Notamacropus eugenii: one gene and its partner. The protein of the gene in region 2 interacts with the protein of the main gene of each other region in a pairwise test. Links are inferred from orthologs where the notes say so. Each region holds a gene or a part of one and is shown on either strand. Other genes may lie near its edges.

Region 1 (7,559 bases), on a different chromosome or scaffold from region 2:
GCCTGGGAACATCTTAAAACATAATTATTATCTGCCCATGTGATTTGGAGCAAACCAAATCCCACCTGTGGCCCTGGCTTGCTATCCCCCAATCTGTCCAGCCTTCCACTCACTCCCAGCATCAGCCAAGGCATCCTGTCTCCCAACTCTCACCTGCGTTTCCATGAAGATGATTCCAGTGGACTCATGAGCTTCCGGTCCTCCGGTCATATAGAGGGTCTTCACCTGCTCAGAGGTCAGGCTACAGCTAAAGGAGGAGGGGGAGAGACAAGCTTCTGGGAGAAGGGCAGACCCACTCTGGCCAGGGGTCCCAAGCTCCATCCTGCCCTGAGGCTCCAGGTGCCCAGATCTCAATTTTCCAAGCCCAGGACTTCAGGCCTCTCCTAGAAGAGCCCTTCTATGATGCTGTGCCCCTAGGGACATCAAGCTTTCCCTGAAAAGTGGAATCTGGCTGATGGCAGAAGAAAGCCTGGTAGTTCACACACAGCAGGATTTGGTTGTATTAAAAATAAGACCTTCTAAAAAAAGTCACATTTTAAAATGTTTGTGCCCTGATCCCCTCCCTAGTTTGCCTATTCCTACTTCTAATTCTGTCCCTCAGAAGAAGGAAGCACAGTTCCCCATATGATGTCCACTTACCTGACATAGAATTCAGCACTGGCTCTTCCTGCACTGGTCTCATTTCGGGCAATGCCCAGAAGGAGGGGATGGCTCAAAGTGGATAGTGGCACATTTACCTGGTGGGGGTAGAGTCGGAGGTCAGGGGTCATTGCCTCAGCTCCTGCTCTCCCCACTCTCCACATCCTCCCAGCCCCAGGCTCAGCACCTCACCTCATCTCGGATCTCCTGCAAGATGGAGGAGAACAGCTCCGGAACCAGCAGGTCCTCGGGCAGATCCTCGTGCCGGGGCATCTCCCCAGGAAACAGGGCCTACAAGGAGGCAGCCTCAGCTCGCTCCCCTCCCCAGGGCAGCCTAGCCTCTCAGGCTGAAGTCCGCAGCTCCAAGAAGACTTGCCAGGTGGACCCGGCCTTGCTCTACTCCCTTTGTCCCAGCCCCACTGAAGCACATCAGAGGAAGGGCAACAGGCTGACCAGAAAAGAGACAAGCTCTAGAGACCAGGAGACCTGAGGCTCTAGGCCTGGCTTTGACTTTGCGTTTCACACACCCTTCCTTTTCACATAACTCCCTCATAAGCCATTGGTTTCTGGCAACAAAGAATCAAAGGGATAGAGAATGGACCTGGGATTTCCTGGTTGAAGAAGCTCTTGCAGGCAATGCAGGCCACTAAGTCTCAGAGAGCTGCCTAGAGCTCCACACAGCCAGGAGGGCTCTTCTCTCCTCTGACCTCAGCTCTTTAGCCATAGACTCATCAAATAAAGAAGAAAAATCATCAGCTCAGCAAAACGGATAAACACATGAACAGGTCAAAAGAGCCAATTGTGAGCGAGGCAACCGTGCCTCATGGCTACTCTCCCCGCTCCGTGGCTGCCTGCACACCTCCCCAGGGGCTGCTCTCCTTCCAAAACCTTCCTCAGATCCCCCCAGCCCTGCTAGTCACAGTCCTAGATCGCTCCTCCTTTCTCCACTGAACACATTCTGTTCTCCCCTTCTTTGAAGTTCATCACTCACCCTAGCCGCTCTCCAGCCCTCTGGTCCCTCATTGGACATTTGAGTGAATGCCCCTTAGCCAGTAGATGCAACATCCCCAGAATGGAACTCATCACTCCTCTAGACCTACCACTTAGCATGGTGCCTAGCACACAGTAGTCATTTAAGAAATACTTGTTGGCTCAGTGCCCAGCACACAGTAGGGATTTAAGACATACTTACCGCCTCCACTTCCCTGTTTTTGCTGAGTCACCAACATCTTTTAAGTTATCCAGGTTCAGGAGCCTCGTGGGTCATCTATGACACTCCTCATTCTCACCCCAAATCCAAATAGCTAACCAATTGCTAAATTCTGTTTCTTCCTCCACAGTCTCTCTTACAACCTTCCCCGCTCTCTCTGTTTACATAGCGTTATCACCGTAGTGTTGACTCTCACCATCCCACCACCTCACCCCTGGACTATTGCAGTAGCTGCTGTGGGGTGGGGTGTTTGTCTGCCTCAAGCCTTTTGCCACTCCAACCCATCCTCCACTCAGTCACCAAAGGGATTTTCTGAAAACCCAGGTCTGGTCATGATGCCCCCATCCTGTTCTCAGTAACTTTCAACAGCTCCCTATTACCAAAAGTATCAAATAGAAACTCCTCTGGTGGGCAGCAAGGGGGCACATTGGGCTTGAAGTCAGGAAGATCTGAGTTCAAATCTTGCCTCAAATACTTACTATGTGTGTGACCCTGTCTGCCTCAGTTTCCTCAACTGAAAGACTTCTAGTTCCTGGCTTGTTTGGGCTCTAGAAGGCCAGTGGCTATCTTTGCCTGACTCTTCAGGATGTAGGTGCTCACCTGAGGTTCAGGATGCCCCCCTGGCACATCTATCAGCCCAGGGGCCTCAGCCACCCTCAGAGACCGGCGAAGAAAGACCAGGAAACCATCTGAAGTGCCCAGCATGGCACCCACTCCCAGTGGGTCTGCTAAGTAGGCCTGGGCATCTCCCCAGTCAGTTTTCCCCTGGCATCGCAGCCTGCTTGCCGAGCTAGCCCAGTTGGTGCCTAGGAAGTCCTGGTAGGAAGTGAGGCCCATACGCAGCGTCAGACAGGGTCCTCCAGGGTCAGGGGGCCCCAGGACTGCCGAGTGCAGTCGAAACTTGGGAGCGTTGAAGAGCCAGGGCTGGGCCTGCCGGCGGGCATCCCAAATGGCAGTGATGGAGTCCTCCCCCCCGGGCAGTGGGCGCCGGTCATAAGCTGGGTTCAACTCTGCCCGTACCTGCTCTTCAGCCAGCCCGCCCGGTGGGCATTGGACAAGCAGGGAGACCTCGGGATCCATAGAATGGAGGGGACGAGGCTGGTGGTGGGAATGCAAGGTCTGGATGAGGGAAATGAGGCAGAGTTACCACTGCCCTGCAGGGCATCTCCTGCCAACTGCCGGCCTTTGGTGGTGTCCCTGGATGTCCCTAGCCTCAGTCCAGCACTGACTCTGTGTGCAGCTCGCAGTCGTGGCTGCTGCCGCTACGGTTACAATCGCTGTTACAGTTACCGTTGCCCCGCTTCCTGCCTCCAGCTCAGCTGGGTCTAGCTCCTCCCCTCCCTTAACGAGAGCGGAAGGAGAGCCTCACTCCTTGCGTCCCCCATCCCTCATTGGCTCACTCCCTGCCCAGATCCGGTGGGCAGGCACTTGGCGGGGCTGGTGAGGATTGGCCCCTACTAGATTTCCAGGCCCTTGGGGATGATCTGTTCCACGCCACCCCCCCCTTTCTAGATGGGGAAACTGAAGCCCTGGGGGCACTGGGCCCTGTTGCCTTTCTGATCTCTGGGGTCTCTGCCCTAGCCTCAGTTCTACCCTGCCCAGGGTTCCCCCAACTCACAGCCAGGTTGCAACGGGAATGGGGAGAGGGCAGCCCCCCATCTCTCCCTTCAGCCCTGGTATGGGATAGAGCTGAAAATACCTTGTATTGGGAGTCCTAATCTTGGTCTCTGAGTCTTGGCTGTGCCCCAGATGACCTCTGTGACTTTGGACAATTTTCTTTCACTTTCTGGGTCTCAGTTTCCTGTTCTGTTAAATGAGGTAGACAGACCAGGTAGTATATATCTCATATATTATCTCATAGCTCTAAATCCTGTGTTCCTAGGTTCCTGGAAGAGTGAGGGGCATGAACCCCTCTGTGGGACAGACCTCCCAGCAAGCTGGGCCCAGGGGAAGAAGAGCCCGCAGACCCCGAGAACAGGTGACAGCCCATGGACTCCACTGGTGGCTGAACTGAAGAGAGCAGTTGGTGGAAGTGGCTTCTCTGCCCAAAGGCAGGGTGGGGGTGGGGGGGCTAAGATTCTCAGAGCCAGAGCAGCTAGTCCAACAGGCCTGCCCTGGGGGGCCTACAGGTTCAAGGACTGATGGACACTTCCCCTCCCCCCCAGCTCTGGGGCACATCAGGGGAGGGGTCTTTCCACAGTGACTGCTATCCAGCAGGCTTTTTGGGGAGCAGGAGGGTTTGGGCACCTTTGGTGGAAAAAGGAAGAAACTTTGTTGGCATTTGGGCTGTTGCAGGACCCAGATGTACGGCTATCCAAGGCTCTGTCCTATGCCCTGCGTCATGGAGCTGTTAAGATGGGGCTGCCCATTGGCTCAGGTAAGCCTTGAGCATGAGAAGGCTGTGGCAGAAGCCTCAGGGTCAGAGGGAGGCCTAGGAGGTGGTGGTGCCCCCACAGGAGCCATAATGACACAGGCTATCAATGGAATGAATCCTGCTGCCCTACAAGGGGAACAGAGATTGCATAGGTGGCAAGGGTTTAGATCAGAAGCCAAGATTTCCACTCAAATCCTGCCTTTAGACACTGGGTGACGGGGTGACTGGGCAAATGACTTAGCCTCAGTTTCCTCCTGTGTTAGCTCCCATCCCCAGGGCTGCTGGGAGGGTTAGATGAGAGGCCGAGCAGGAGATGCTCTGTAGAAAGTTACATAAGTGTCAGTGAGTGCAGGAAAGGCCTACTCTAAACCCCCTCCTCAGCCTCTGCAGCCTGTCCCCAACTTGGCCAGTTACAGTGCCCTGATGGGTCAGCTGGGAGGAGGGGTGGACAGCTGAGCATTCATCAGATGCCTTCTGTGTGCCCACAGTGCTTAATAAATGTGGATGGATCAAGTGTGGGCCCAGTTCTGGGCAAGAGATGGGACTTGTATTCTTCCCTCACAGACGGCTTTGTGCCCCTGGATGCCCTTCTGCAGCTGCCACAGTTCCAGGGCTTCTCACTGGATGATGTGCACCGTGTGGTGGAAACCAATGAAAAGCAGAGGTTTGCCTGGCACCCTGGGCCCCCAGGCTCCTGGGGCTTTATTCGAGCCAACCAGGGTCACTCCTTGCAGGTAGATACTCAGCCTTGGGGGCTTGTGTGTTTGCTTGCATGTGTGTGTGCGTGTGTGCACACATAGGGGGCAGATTGGATGTGTGTATGTGTGTGTGTGTCTGTGTGTGCGTCTGTGTGTGAGCACTTAGGAGGTGGATTGGATGTGGGGGGATGCAGGGGAAGAGGGAGATGGAGTGAAGGGGCAGGAGAGAGCACGGGGGGAGTGGAGAGAATCTGTCCGGGAGAATGGAGGCTCCCTGTCTTTGCTGTCCCACTGTCTGGTTCAGGGCTCTCAGGGCTTTGCTCCCAGTAGGTTCTAGACTTGGAGTCAGAAGGACCAGAATGATGTTTCTTGTAACTGTGTGACTCTGGGCACTCCCTTAACTCTCTGTGCCTTAGTTTCCTCTCTTGCAAAAACAGGAGGTTGGACTCAGTGGATTTTCAGGCCCTCTCTAGCTCTAAATCTCTGATCTAGGATCGAATCTTAGCTCAAAGACTTTCCTCACTTTGTGAAGTTGGGAAAGTGTCTCTGCCTCAGTTTCCTTGTCTGTAAAGTGACAGCTATAATTCCCATACTATGTATTTCCCAGGACTGTTTCAAGGAAAAGGTGGTAGTTAAATTAGGGAGGATAAGGGCTACCCCCAGATTTTGAAGCGACCCCCTCATTGTTCCTCATGGCAGGTGACTGACCTGGAGCTGACACCCCTAAGAACCCCACAAGACCTACCTCCCATTCTTGTCCATGGAACGTACCGGCGCCACTGGCCCTCCATCCGGCAGGAGGGTCTGTCTCGTCGTGGGAGAACCCACATTCACCTGTCCCCCGGCCTGCCTGGAGAACCCCATGTCCTCAGTGGTTAGTAGACCATACTCCAACCCCTTCCCAGAGCATTGGGAGAATCCCGGGGTGCCTTGGTGCCACTTGTGACTCTGTCCCTTAGGCATGCGGCAGGACTGTGAGGTGGCCGTATTCATCAATGGACCCTTGGCACTGGCCGGTGAGTTTGGCTGGCCAGGAGGAGGATGGGGGAGAGGGCAGGAGGACACAGCCTGAAGTCTGACCCTTCCCCACAGAGGGAATCCTGTTCTTCCGCTCAGCCAATGGGGTGATCCTGACTCCGGGGGATGCCAAGGGTTTCTTGCTTCCCAAGTACTTCAAAGAAGCCCTACAGCTGGGCTCTCCAAGTGAGTGCCCTCCTCTTTGGATTTCCAGGTCCCTAAGCCAGGCTCTGAGGGTGGGCCATGGCCTGTTGATCTCAGACTCCTTTCTGCCTGCTTCCACCACCTCCATTTCCCACCCTGAGCATCATCTCCCCTCTCCTTATCCTAACCCTTTCCCTGCTGCAGGGAGGCCTCTTTCTCTGGCTGAAGAGGAGACAGAGGGTCAGAGCAGTCACCAGGGTGCCTCAACCAACAGCTGAAGAAGAAATATGGGGAGTGTCCAAGTAGGAAATATTTATTTATAAAAAGACAAATAAAAACTAACAAACAAAGCAAATCTTTCTAGGGCTGTATCGCAGCATCTCTGCAGTCCCGAGTCCAAAGATTGCCCTGGAGTGTGGCAGTCAGAAGGCAGTTGGATCCTGGGGCCCTCAGCTTGCCTCAGTCATTTGTAGAGCAAGAGAACACCAACACCCTAGGCAGGGATGAGCAGCCTTTGGGTAGCCCCTGGTGGGGAGGAACAAGACATGGGGCGAGGCTTGGCCTCCCCAAGAGGGCACCAGGAGTGATGGTTACAGTGTGTGTGTTGGGGGAGAGGGTAAATGGGGTGAGGGGAAGCTGTTGTGAGAGAGCCAGTGACAGTGAGAGACAGTGGGGGATGGAGAAGGCCCTCTGGGCGTCTCAGAAGGCTTCATGACCCCCTGTGAGCTGCAGGAAGAGTTCCTCATCCAGTTCCTCGCCTCGGGCGCGCTCCCGGGTGGACAGGAAAATGTAGCCACCGATGTACTCATGCAGGATTCGGCAGCCGGCGGACACACAGCTGAAGGCTACGTTGATGTGCTCGTCAAATTCAATGGCCACCTGCGGGCCAGACCCCAACGTGTGATTGGGAGCAGAGAGAGCAGGGCAGCAGCCAGTGTGGCCCCTCCATCCCTCAGCCCCCTTCCCACCTGGCGGATGTCCCAGTTGACATTCCACTGGCGCATGTTGCTGAATCGCCAAGTCTTCATGACATCACCCACGGCCAGGTCGATGCGGATCAGGCGATTGTTGGCAATGCCCAGGATCTCATCCTTCCTGCTACCCTTAAACCTGAGGGTGTGGGAAGGGGGGAAGGAGCTCTCTCAGTGTCCAGCTGGGGGAGGAAGGCCCCTTCCAAGGACTCATCAGAGGAGGGGGAGGAGGTCCCTTGAGACAAGATCACAGACCCTCCGGGTTGGAGGGGACCTTATCATCTGGCCCAACCTGTATCAGAGTAAGAATCGCCTCCCTGACTAACAGTTGTCCCATGTCCTCTTGAAGACCTCCAGGGATGGGGAGCTCACTACCTCTCCAGACAGTCAGGCTACTTTCAGATACTTTGGGTTGGAAGTCTCCCCTCCCCCATGTCCCACACCGTTGAAGCCACATTACTTTGTCTTTAACATTGCCTTCTGACTCCTCTTCCACATATTAAACC
Region 2 (7,432 bases):
GAGAAAATGAGATTATGTGCCATAATAGGTGCTTAATAAATGTCTGTTTCACTCCCATCCCTCTCCTTACACATAGATCTGGTCATGCCACTCTGTTCAAAAATCTTCACTGACTCCCCCCACTCTTTAAAGGCAATCAGGGTTAAGTGACTTAACCAAGGTCACACAGCTAATAAGTGTCTGAGGCTACATTTGAATTCAGGTTCCCTTTACACCAGGGCTGATGATGCTCTATGCACTGGGCCTACTTAGATACCCAAGGAGTAAAATACAAATTTCTTTGCCTGCCACTCAGGGCCCTTCATGATCTGGTCAGCAGGTGCTCAGGTTACTCCTCTCCATGCACACAGCCAAAATGGACCAATATTCCTTTGCCTTCCCCATTTCTGCGCCTTTACTCATGGTACCCCTTCAGTAACAGGCTTTTCCCATTAGACTACACAGAAGGGTATTTTGTAACTTTCAAAGGCAGCAAGTCCATGGAGCTGGATAGATTTCAGGAGGTCTGTGAACTTGGATGGGAAAGAAATTACATCTTTATTATCTCTGACCTCTAACTAAAATTTAACATTTCTTTCAATTATTTAGAGACTTTCTTTTGAAAAGAGGTCCATAGGCTTCACCAGACTGCCAAAGGGGTCTAGGACCCACAGAAAAGAATTAAGAGCCCTGCTCCAAGGGATTTTTCATAGACCACTCTGTATTCTTATCTGAATGTCAGATCTTCTCACTAGACCATGAGGTTTTAAATTTGAGTCCATGAATTTGTTTTTTTTTAAATAGTAGGACAACTATTTCATTATAATTGGTTTCTTTGTAATCCTACATATTTTGTTTTATGTATTTACAAACATTATTCTGAAAAGGGGTCCGGTAAGTTTCACAAAAGTGCCAAAGCAATCAAAGACACAAATAAAGGTTTACCCCCTACCTAGACGTGAGGCCCAGAAGGGTTGGGACTCTGTCTTAGCTAAACTGCACGTCTGCACACAGTAAGACATTTAATATATGTTTATATAAACCACAGAAAAAGCTTTCCTCTTGCTGCCTAGAGTTTGCAGAAACCGGAGATAGGATGAAAAGGAAGAGGTGGGACTTGCGGACTTGGTCTGGTCCCTCCACTAGAATTCCCTGGATGATGAGCAGACTTAGAGGAAGGGAAAAAGGGAATCTGCTTGAGGTAAAGATCTCTTAGCTCAGGGAGGGAGGCAGAGACAGGAGCCTCCAACTGGAGTTCAAGGTGCAAAGAAGTTTAGAACAGGTTAAACAGAGAAAGCCCTCTGTCCTTGGGAAACTGAGGCAGGTCATGCGGCATCCCTCCCCTGTCAGGTTCCCTGAGTTGGGGCTCTGGGAGCCATTCTAGGCAGTATGCCACATTTGCTAATTTCTGATTAAAGGGTCTGCTCTGCTCCAAGCCAGCCCGGGACCCATCTATTAGCAGCCAGCCATAGTGGTGTCAGGGGGCTCCTGCCAGGAAGCCAATTTAATTTGTAACTGTGGGCCCAGGCAGACAGGAAAAAAAAAATCTGATAAAGGCTAAAGAGAGAGGTTTTTGGTCTCCTCCAACACAGGCCAAACCCCTTGTCTCTTAAGATATCTATTAGTGGGACCTACGGAAGGGGAGCTTCTGAGAATGAGCCCTAAACTTAAATTTTAGGGAGGAGAAACCAGACATAATGTCTGGAGTGGGAGGCAAGGTAAGTGTCCTGATGTATCCCTGTCTAGACCTGTTTACCTTATGCAAATCTCAGGACAGGCCCTAAAGCTAACCCTAATCTAACCCTAGTCTAATAAAGAGAGTGCTGCACACCCCCAGCAGAAGGACCTTCATCTAAATCTCTCTGATGTTCATGTCTTGAGCACAAGCAAATCAAATCCCTTTCCCATTCTGGACCTCACTGACTTTGTCTATAAAATGGGAGTGAAGCCTGTAGTATCTATTTCTCACCTGGTTGCTACTAAAGATCAAAGGAGATAATAGATGTGTGTTCAGTGCCTAAATATGAGTTATTATTATCCTTTCCCTCTCCTGGGACCCTATCTGTGAGAGGAGGGAGTTGGACCCTGCCTCCCAGCTCCAACATTCTGCGTTCTCAGGGCTTTATCAGCTCTAACTTTGTATTCTTTCCATAATCTAAGGTCTCTTCCAGCTCTAAGGCCCTGTTATATTCTTCATATTAACACTGGGAGACAAAAACTGCAACCTAGGGAGGGAGAAAGGATGGGGTGTCATGTAGGGAGCTGCCTGATCTAGGACGCAGGGCTTGGGGGATGTGCCTGAGACAGCCTAGGCTGAGAGTCTGGAGACCACATTCCCCCACTGCTAACTTTTATGTTGTGACCTTGGAGAAGTCCTTTCCCCTCTTTAAGGCTCGATGTGTGGTCTGTGAAAATGTGATACTAGAAAACCTGCAGGTCTCACGAACAAAGACACTGGGATGCCTGGATTCTACCCCAATCAGGAGATGGAGAGAGGGAAAGGAAAGGGCAGGGGGGCAAGGGGGATGGGAGAGAGGGTGGAGAGAAGGGAGGGAAAGGGAGGGGAGACAGGAGATGGTGAGACAGGGAGAGGAGGAGAGGGAGGGAGAGGAGAGAGGGAGGGGGAGGGAGGAAGGGGAGGGGGAGGAGAGAGGGAGAGGGAGGGAGGAAGGGGAGGGGGAGGGAGGAAGGGGAGGGAGAGGAGGGGGGGGAGAGGAGAGGGAGGGGAGAGGAGAGGGGGGAAGGAGAGGAGAGGGGGGAGGGAGAGGAGAGGGGGGAGAGAAGGGAGGGAAAGGGAGGGGAGACAGGAGACGGTGAGACAGGGAGAGGAGGAGAGGTAGGGAGAGGAGAGAGGGAGGAGGAGGGAGGAAGGGGAGGGGGAGGAGAGAGGGAGGGGGAGGGAGGAAGGGGAGAGGGAGGGAGGAAGGGGAGGGGGAGGGAGGAAGGGGAGGGAGAGGAGAGGGGGAGGAGAGGAGAGGGAGGGGAGAGGAGAGGGGGGAGGGAGAGGAGAGGGGGGAGAGAAGGGAGGGAGGGGGAGGGAGGAAGGGGAGAGGGAGGGAGGAAGGGGAGGGAGAGGAGAGAGGGAGGGGGAGGGAGGAAGGGGAGGGAGAGGAGAGAGGGACGGGGAGGGAGGAAGGGGAGGGAGAGGGAGGAAGGGGAGGAGGAGGGAGGAAGGGGAGGGAGAGGAGAGGGGGGAGGGAGAGGAGAGGGGGGAGAGAAGGGAGGGAAAGGGAGGGGAGACAGGAGACGGTGAGACAGGGAGAGGAGGAGAGGTAGGGAGAGGAGAGAGGGAGGGGGAGGGAGGAAGGGGAGGGGGAGGAGAGAGGGAGGGGGAGGGAGGAAGGGGAGAGGGAGGGAGGAAGGGGAGGGGGAGGGAGGAAGGGGAGGGAGAGGAGAGGGGGGGGAGAGGAGAGGGAGGGGAGAGGAGAGGGGGGAGGGAGAGGAGAGGGGGGAGAGAAGGGAGGGAAAGGGAGGGGAGACAGGAGACGGTGAGACAGGGAGAGGAGGAGAGGGAGGGAGAGGAGAGAGGGAGGGGGAGGGAGGAAGGGGAGAGGGAGGGAGGAAGGGGAGGGAGAGGAGAGAGGGAGGGGGAGGGAGGAAGGGGAGGGAGAGGAGAGAGGGACGGGGAGGGAGGAAGGGGAGGGAGAGGAGAGAGGGACGGGGAGGGAGGAAGGGGAGGGGGAGGGAGGAAGGGGAGGGGGAGGGAGGAAGGGGAGGGGGAGGGGAAGCCGGCTCCGAATGAGGTCAGGGAAGGGGAGGGAAGGGAGGCGGGGAGAACGCTGCGAGTGTGGGCAGGAGGGTGGGGGCGGGGTGAGAACGAGGCCTGGGCGTCCGAGGCCGCGGGGGGCGCGTGGGGGAGCAGAGAACCTGGCACCCCGGGGTTAGGGAAGAGGCGGCGGCGGCGGCTCGAGGACCTGGGGCCCGGGCTGGAGCCGGGGCCGGGGCCGGAGCCGAGGCCCGAGCGCGGGCGCGGGGCGGCGGGGCCGCGGAGCTCGGCGGCGGGGGCGCGCCCCTCCGCGCACGCGCCCTCCGCGCACGCGCACGCGCCCCCTCCCCGCGCGCGCGCCCCAGTGCAGGCCGCGGGCTCGGCGGCAGCAGGTGGTGCTGCTGGTGCTCGGCTGAGGCCGGAGCCGGACCGAGGGAGCCGAGGCCGGAGCTGCTGCTGCCGCTGCTGCCGCAGCCCCCCTCCCCCGCGCCCCCGCCCCCGGCCGCCGGCGGCCGCCATTAGACAATAGGAGCGGCAGCCCGGGAGGGCCGCAGGAGGCAGGAAGCGGCCCGGAGCGGGAGCGGGCCCGGCGGCGGAGGGCGGGCGGCCCGGAGGAGGCGGCGGGAGGCCGGGGCGCGCTGCGGCGGCGCTGAGCGGCGGCGCCGGGGCGGGGACAAAGGCGGCGGCGGCGGCCGGGGCCGAGGAGTCGGGCCGGGGCCGGAGCGGGCCCGCGGCGGGGAGGAGGCGGCGGCGGGGGCGTCGTCGTTGGTGCGGCGGCCTCTGCCTTCCCTCGGCCCGCAGCCCTCCCCCCTCCCCTCACTGCCCGCCCCCCACGAGTGACATGATGTTTCCACAAAGCAGGCACTCGGTAAGGGGGCGGGGGAGCGGCGGAGATCGGCGCGGCGGGGGGGCTGGGGTGGGGCCGCCCCCTGGGGCCCCGCTGCTTCCTCGGCTGCGCCCCTTTAAAATGCGACCCCCGGTGGTAACGTCGCCACCCCCCTCGTGACGATTCCCCGGCCCCTTCTCTGGCTTCTAATCCCCCTTCCGGGGCCCCGCGGGGAAGTGGGGGGCCCAGGGATGGAGGGGGGACGGTCTGCGATCGGGAAAAAAAGGCTTGATTTTTTTCATTCTAAAACAATGATGGGGCGGCCCTGCTGCAATAACCCCCCCTCCATGTGCATGGCCCTGTGGGGGGGAGCAGGAAATGGGGGGGCGGGAGCTGAGTATGTAAACATCAGCCCTGTCGGGGCAGGCCGGGCCCAGGAAGTGCCCTGAGGAGGAGAGGATGAGGATGGTGGGAGCAGCCCGGAGGGAGGCTGGGCTGGAGGAGGGGGCTCCCACCGTGTGCCCCCCCCAAGCCAATCCCATCCTTTCCTCAGGCCCCGGGGAGAGAGGTTCTGCCTGGGGAATGCTCAGATTCCTGAACAGTCTTCTGGCCGAACCTGGACTCCAGCCTCCCCCACATGGCCGGGGTGGGGGGAGGCTGTGCCCTAACCTTCCCTGTTAACCTTCCTCAAGGGCTCCTCACACCTGCCCCAGCAGCTAAAGTTCACGACCTCAGATTCCTGTGACCGGATCAAAGATGAATTTCAGCTCCTACAAGCACAGTACCACAGGTGAGCCCCCTTGGGGAGCCCGGGACTGCCGGGGTACCCTGCTCTCCTCCCCTCCCTGCCTAAGCAGAACCCTGTGCTAGGATCCCAAGAGGAGGCCAACACCTTGAGTGTGTGTGACCTTGGCCGAGTCCTGTCTCCGAGCTTGGGCTTCCCCATTTCTGGGGGTACGCACTAGGTGACCACCAGAAGTCTTTCCCGATTCTAGGATTTGAATTTATTGATAGGGAACCCAGATTTTTTATTTAGCTCTAACAGCATCTCCTTTGTGACCTTGGTGAATCTCTTCCACCTCCCTGGCGGCAGTTGCCTCATTTAATAGATTCAGAACTTAGAAGCCATCTCGCCTGACCCCCTTCTCACTTTTACAGAGATGAAGCCTGTGGCTAAATGACTTGCCCACAGTCATGTAGAGTAACAGAGTAGGAATCTGAGCCTAGGTCCTTCTCTGCCTCTTCCTGGCGACTCCCTTGTAAGGTCCCTGGCCATTGTGTAGAACATTATATAAATATGAAATGTTGCTATTCTTAGAACCGGCTGCCTGGGGATGGCTCTCCTATCTGACCCAAACCTTCCTTGCTTTCCAAGGCTGGCGGGAGTGAATGCCCCCTGAGCTGACCTTTCTGCTACCCCCATCAGTCCCAGGCTCACGCCTCAGTTCCACTTGAGATCTCCCCTCCCTTTCCACTCCCAGGCCTGACCTCATCTTCTGGCCCACCTTTTGTGCAGCAGCTTGCCTATGAGTCTAGGGACATCAGGGCCTTGTTTGTAGGGAAGGAAGGTGGAGACAGTGGGCTTTGGGATGTCCTAGGCAGGAAATAGGATGAGTCCCTGAGGTGGAAAAATGGGGCTGGGGTAGAGTATGAGTTCAGCTTCCCTTTTCCAGGAGGTCTGATGTTCAAGGTCTGTGGCCTTGCACAAGCTCCTCCCTTCCTAGGCCTTATTTTCCCCATCTTTTAGATGGAGGTGGTATAATAATCTTTATACCCCCTCCTTTTTGGGTTGAGAAAAGCATTTTGGAGACCTGAAAGCATTAGAGAAATGAAATAATTATGATTAACCATACTTCCCCTCCCCCCACCCCTGGTTATGCCAAATTGGGTCGGGCCAGAACTGAAGATGTCTCCCTGCTGGCTTCTAGAATCACCTGGTTTATTGAATTTAAGTAGATTAACCAATAGAAGGCTGCCCTCTCCCCATTTTTATTACCAGGAAATTGATGAGGGGTTATTATTTTCCAGAAGGGTAATAGAATTTCTTTCCTTCCTTCTGTTAAAAAAATTTTTGGGGAGGGGGTAAGATGTGGCTTTCCCAACACAGCAGTGTCCTACTGCCTGCTCTAGCTTCCTCTCCTCTCTTCCCCCCAAGGCCAAGAATTATGGCCCTCTAGAGCCTGGGAGGGGCCCCCAGAGACTGGGCTTGTTTATTGCACCGGATAACATGGAAATGAGGCTTTTTTGATTTCTAAATAAAGAAATGGGAGGGCCTGGGCTGGGGAGTGAGGGTCCCCCGGGCCCCTGTAGGAGGGGTTGCTGCTTCCCTCCCATCTACTTGAGCATCAGGTGCTTTTGAGCTCAGGAACCCATCTCTGATGCCAGGAAAGCCTTCAGAGGCTTGGCCTGCTGTTGTTCTCCTGCTGGAGATCCAATAGATCCTTGGCTCAGACCCCACTGGCTTGTGGGGGGTTTCTCCTTCCCCTTTCCCTTGCCCACATTCTGAATTCACTCTAAGTTTCTCCAGACCCCATGAAGTGCTTTGTAAACCAGTAAGACACTTTATAAACAGGAGGCCTGCTTTGCAAACCATTGTAGATCAGGGAGTGCTTTGTAAATGGCGCCCACAGACAGGCCTCCTCCTGTTTTTCTCTTTCCAAAGCCTGAAACTGGAGTGTGACAAGCTGGCCAGTGAGAAGTCGGAGATGCAGCGTCACTACGTCATGGTATGTCCCAGGCCCCCCTACTCCCTGCAGAACTAGTGTCATTCCCTCTGCCCCCCTTTCAGGTGAGGTCAGGAGCAGGGCGACATTCGAGGCCCACACTCGTGGCTGCGGCAGTGGTAGAAACATATGTTTTTGATTTTCAGTTAGAGCTTCCAGGGGAGGATTTCAGAGGCCCCAGGCCCAGCACAACAAAGG

The links.
Region 1: the proteins of TLE5 (region 2) and NUDT22 interact in binary tests that used the Homo sapiens proteins (3 or more experiments, as listed by UniProt). The two-hybrid records come from large-scale screens. The link is inferred for Notamacropus eugenii from reciprocal best matches to the Homo sapiens genes TLE5 and NUDT22.

The regions. Positions count from the first base shown.
Region 1 is NC_092873.1:17,062,246-17,069,804, reverse strand, and holds the start of NUDT22 (uridine diphosphate glucose pyrophosphatase NUDT22), read right to left. Parts: upstream 3,197-7,559; 5' UTR 2,930-3,196; coding exon 2,450-2,929; intron 931-2,449; coding exon 832-930; intron 738-831; coding exon 640-737; intron 248-639; coding exon 154-247; intron 1-153. Other genes in the region: TRPT1 (tRNA 2'-phosphotransferase 1), read left to right, coding at 3,753-3,827, 4,145-4,226, 4,788-4,957, 5,621-5,795, 5,881-5,937, 6,014-6,124, 6,287-6,360; FERMT3 (fermitin family homolog 3), read right to left, coding at 6,782-6,961, 7,051-7,192. UniProt on the Homo sapiens protein: Hydrolyzes UDP-glucose to glucose 1-phosphate and UMP and UDP-galactose to galactose 1-phosphate and UMP. Preferred substrate is UDP-glucose.
Region 2 is NC_092875.1:68,797,551-68,804,982, forward strand, and holds the start of TLE5 (TLE family member 5), read left to right. Parts: upstream 1-4,365; 5' UTR 4,366-4,526; coding exon 4,527-4,553; intron 4,554-5,203; coding exon 5,204-5,301; intron 5,302-7,173; coding exon 7,174-7,237; intron 7,238-7,432. UniProt on the Homo sapiens protein: Transcriptional corepressor. Acts as a dominant repressor towards other family members. Inhibits NF-kappa-B-regulated gene expression. May be required for the initiation and maintenance of the differentiated state.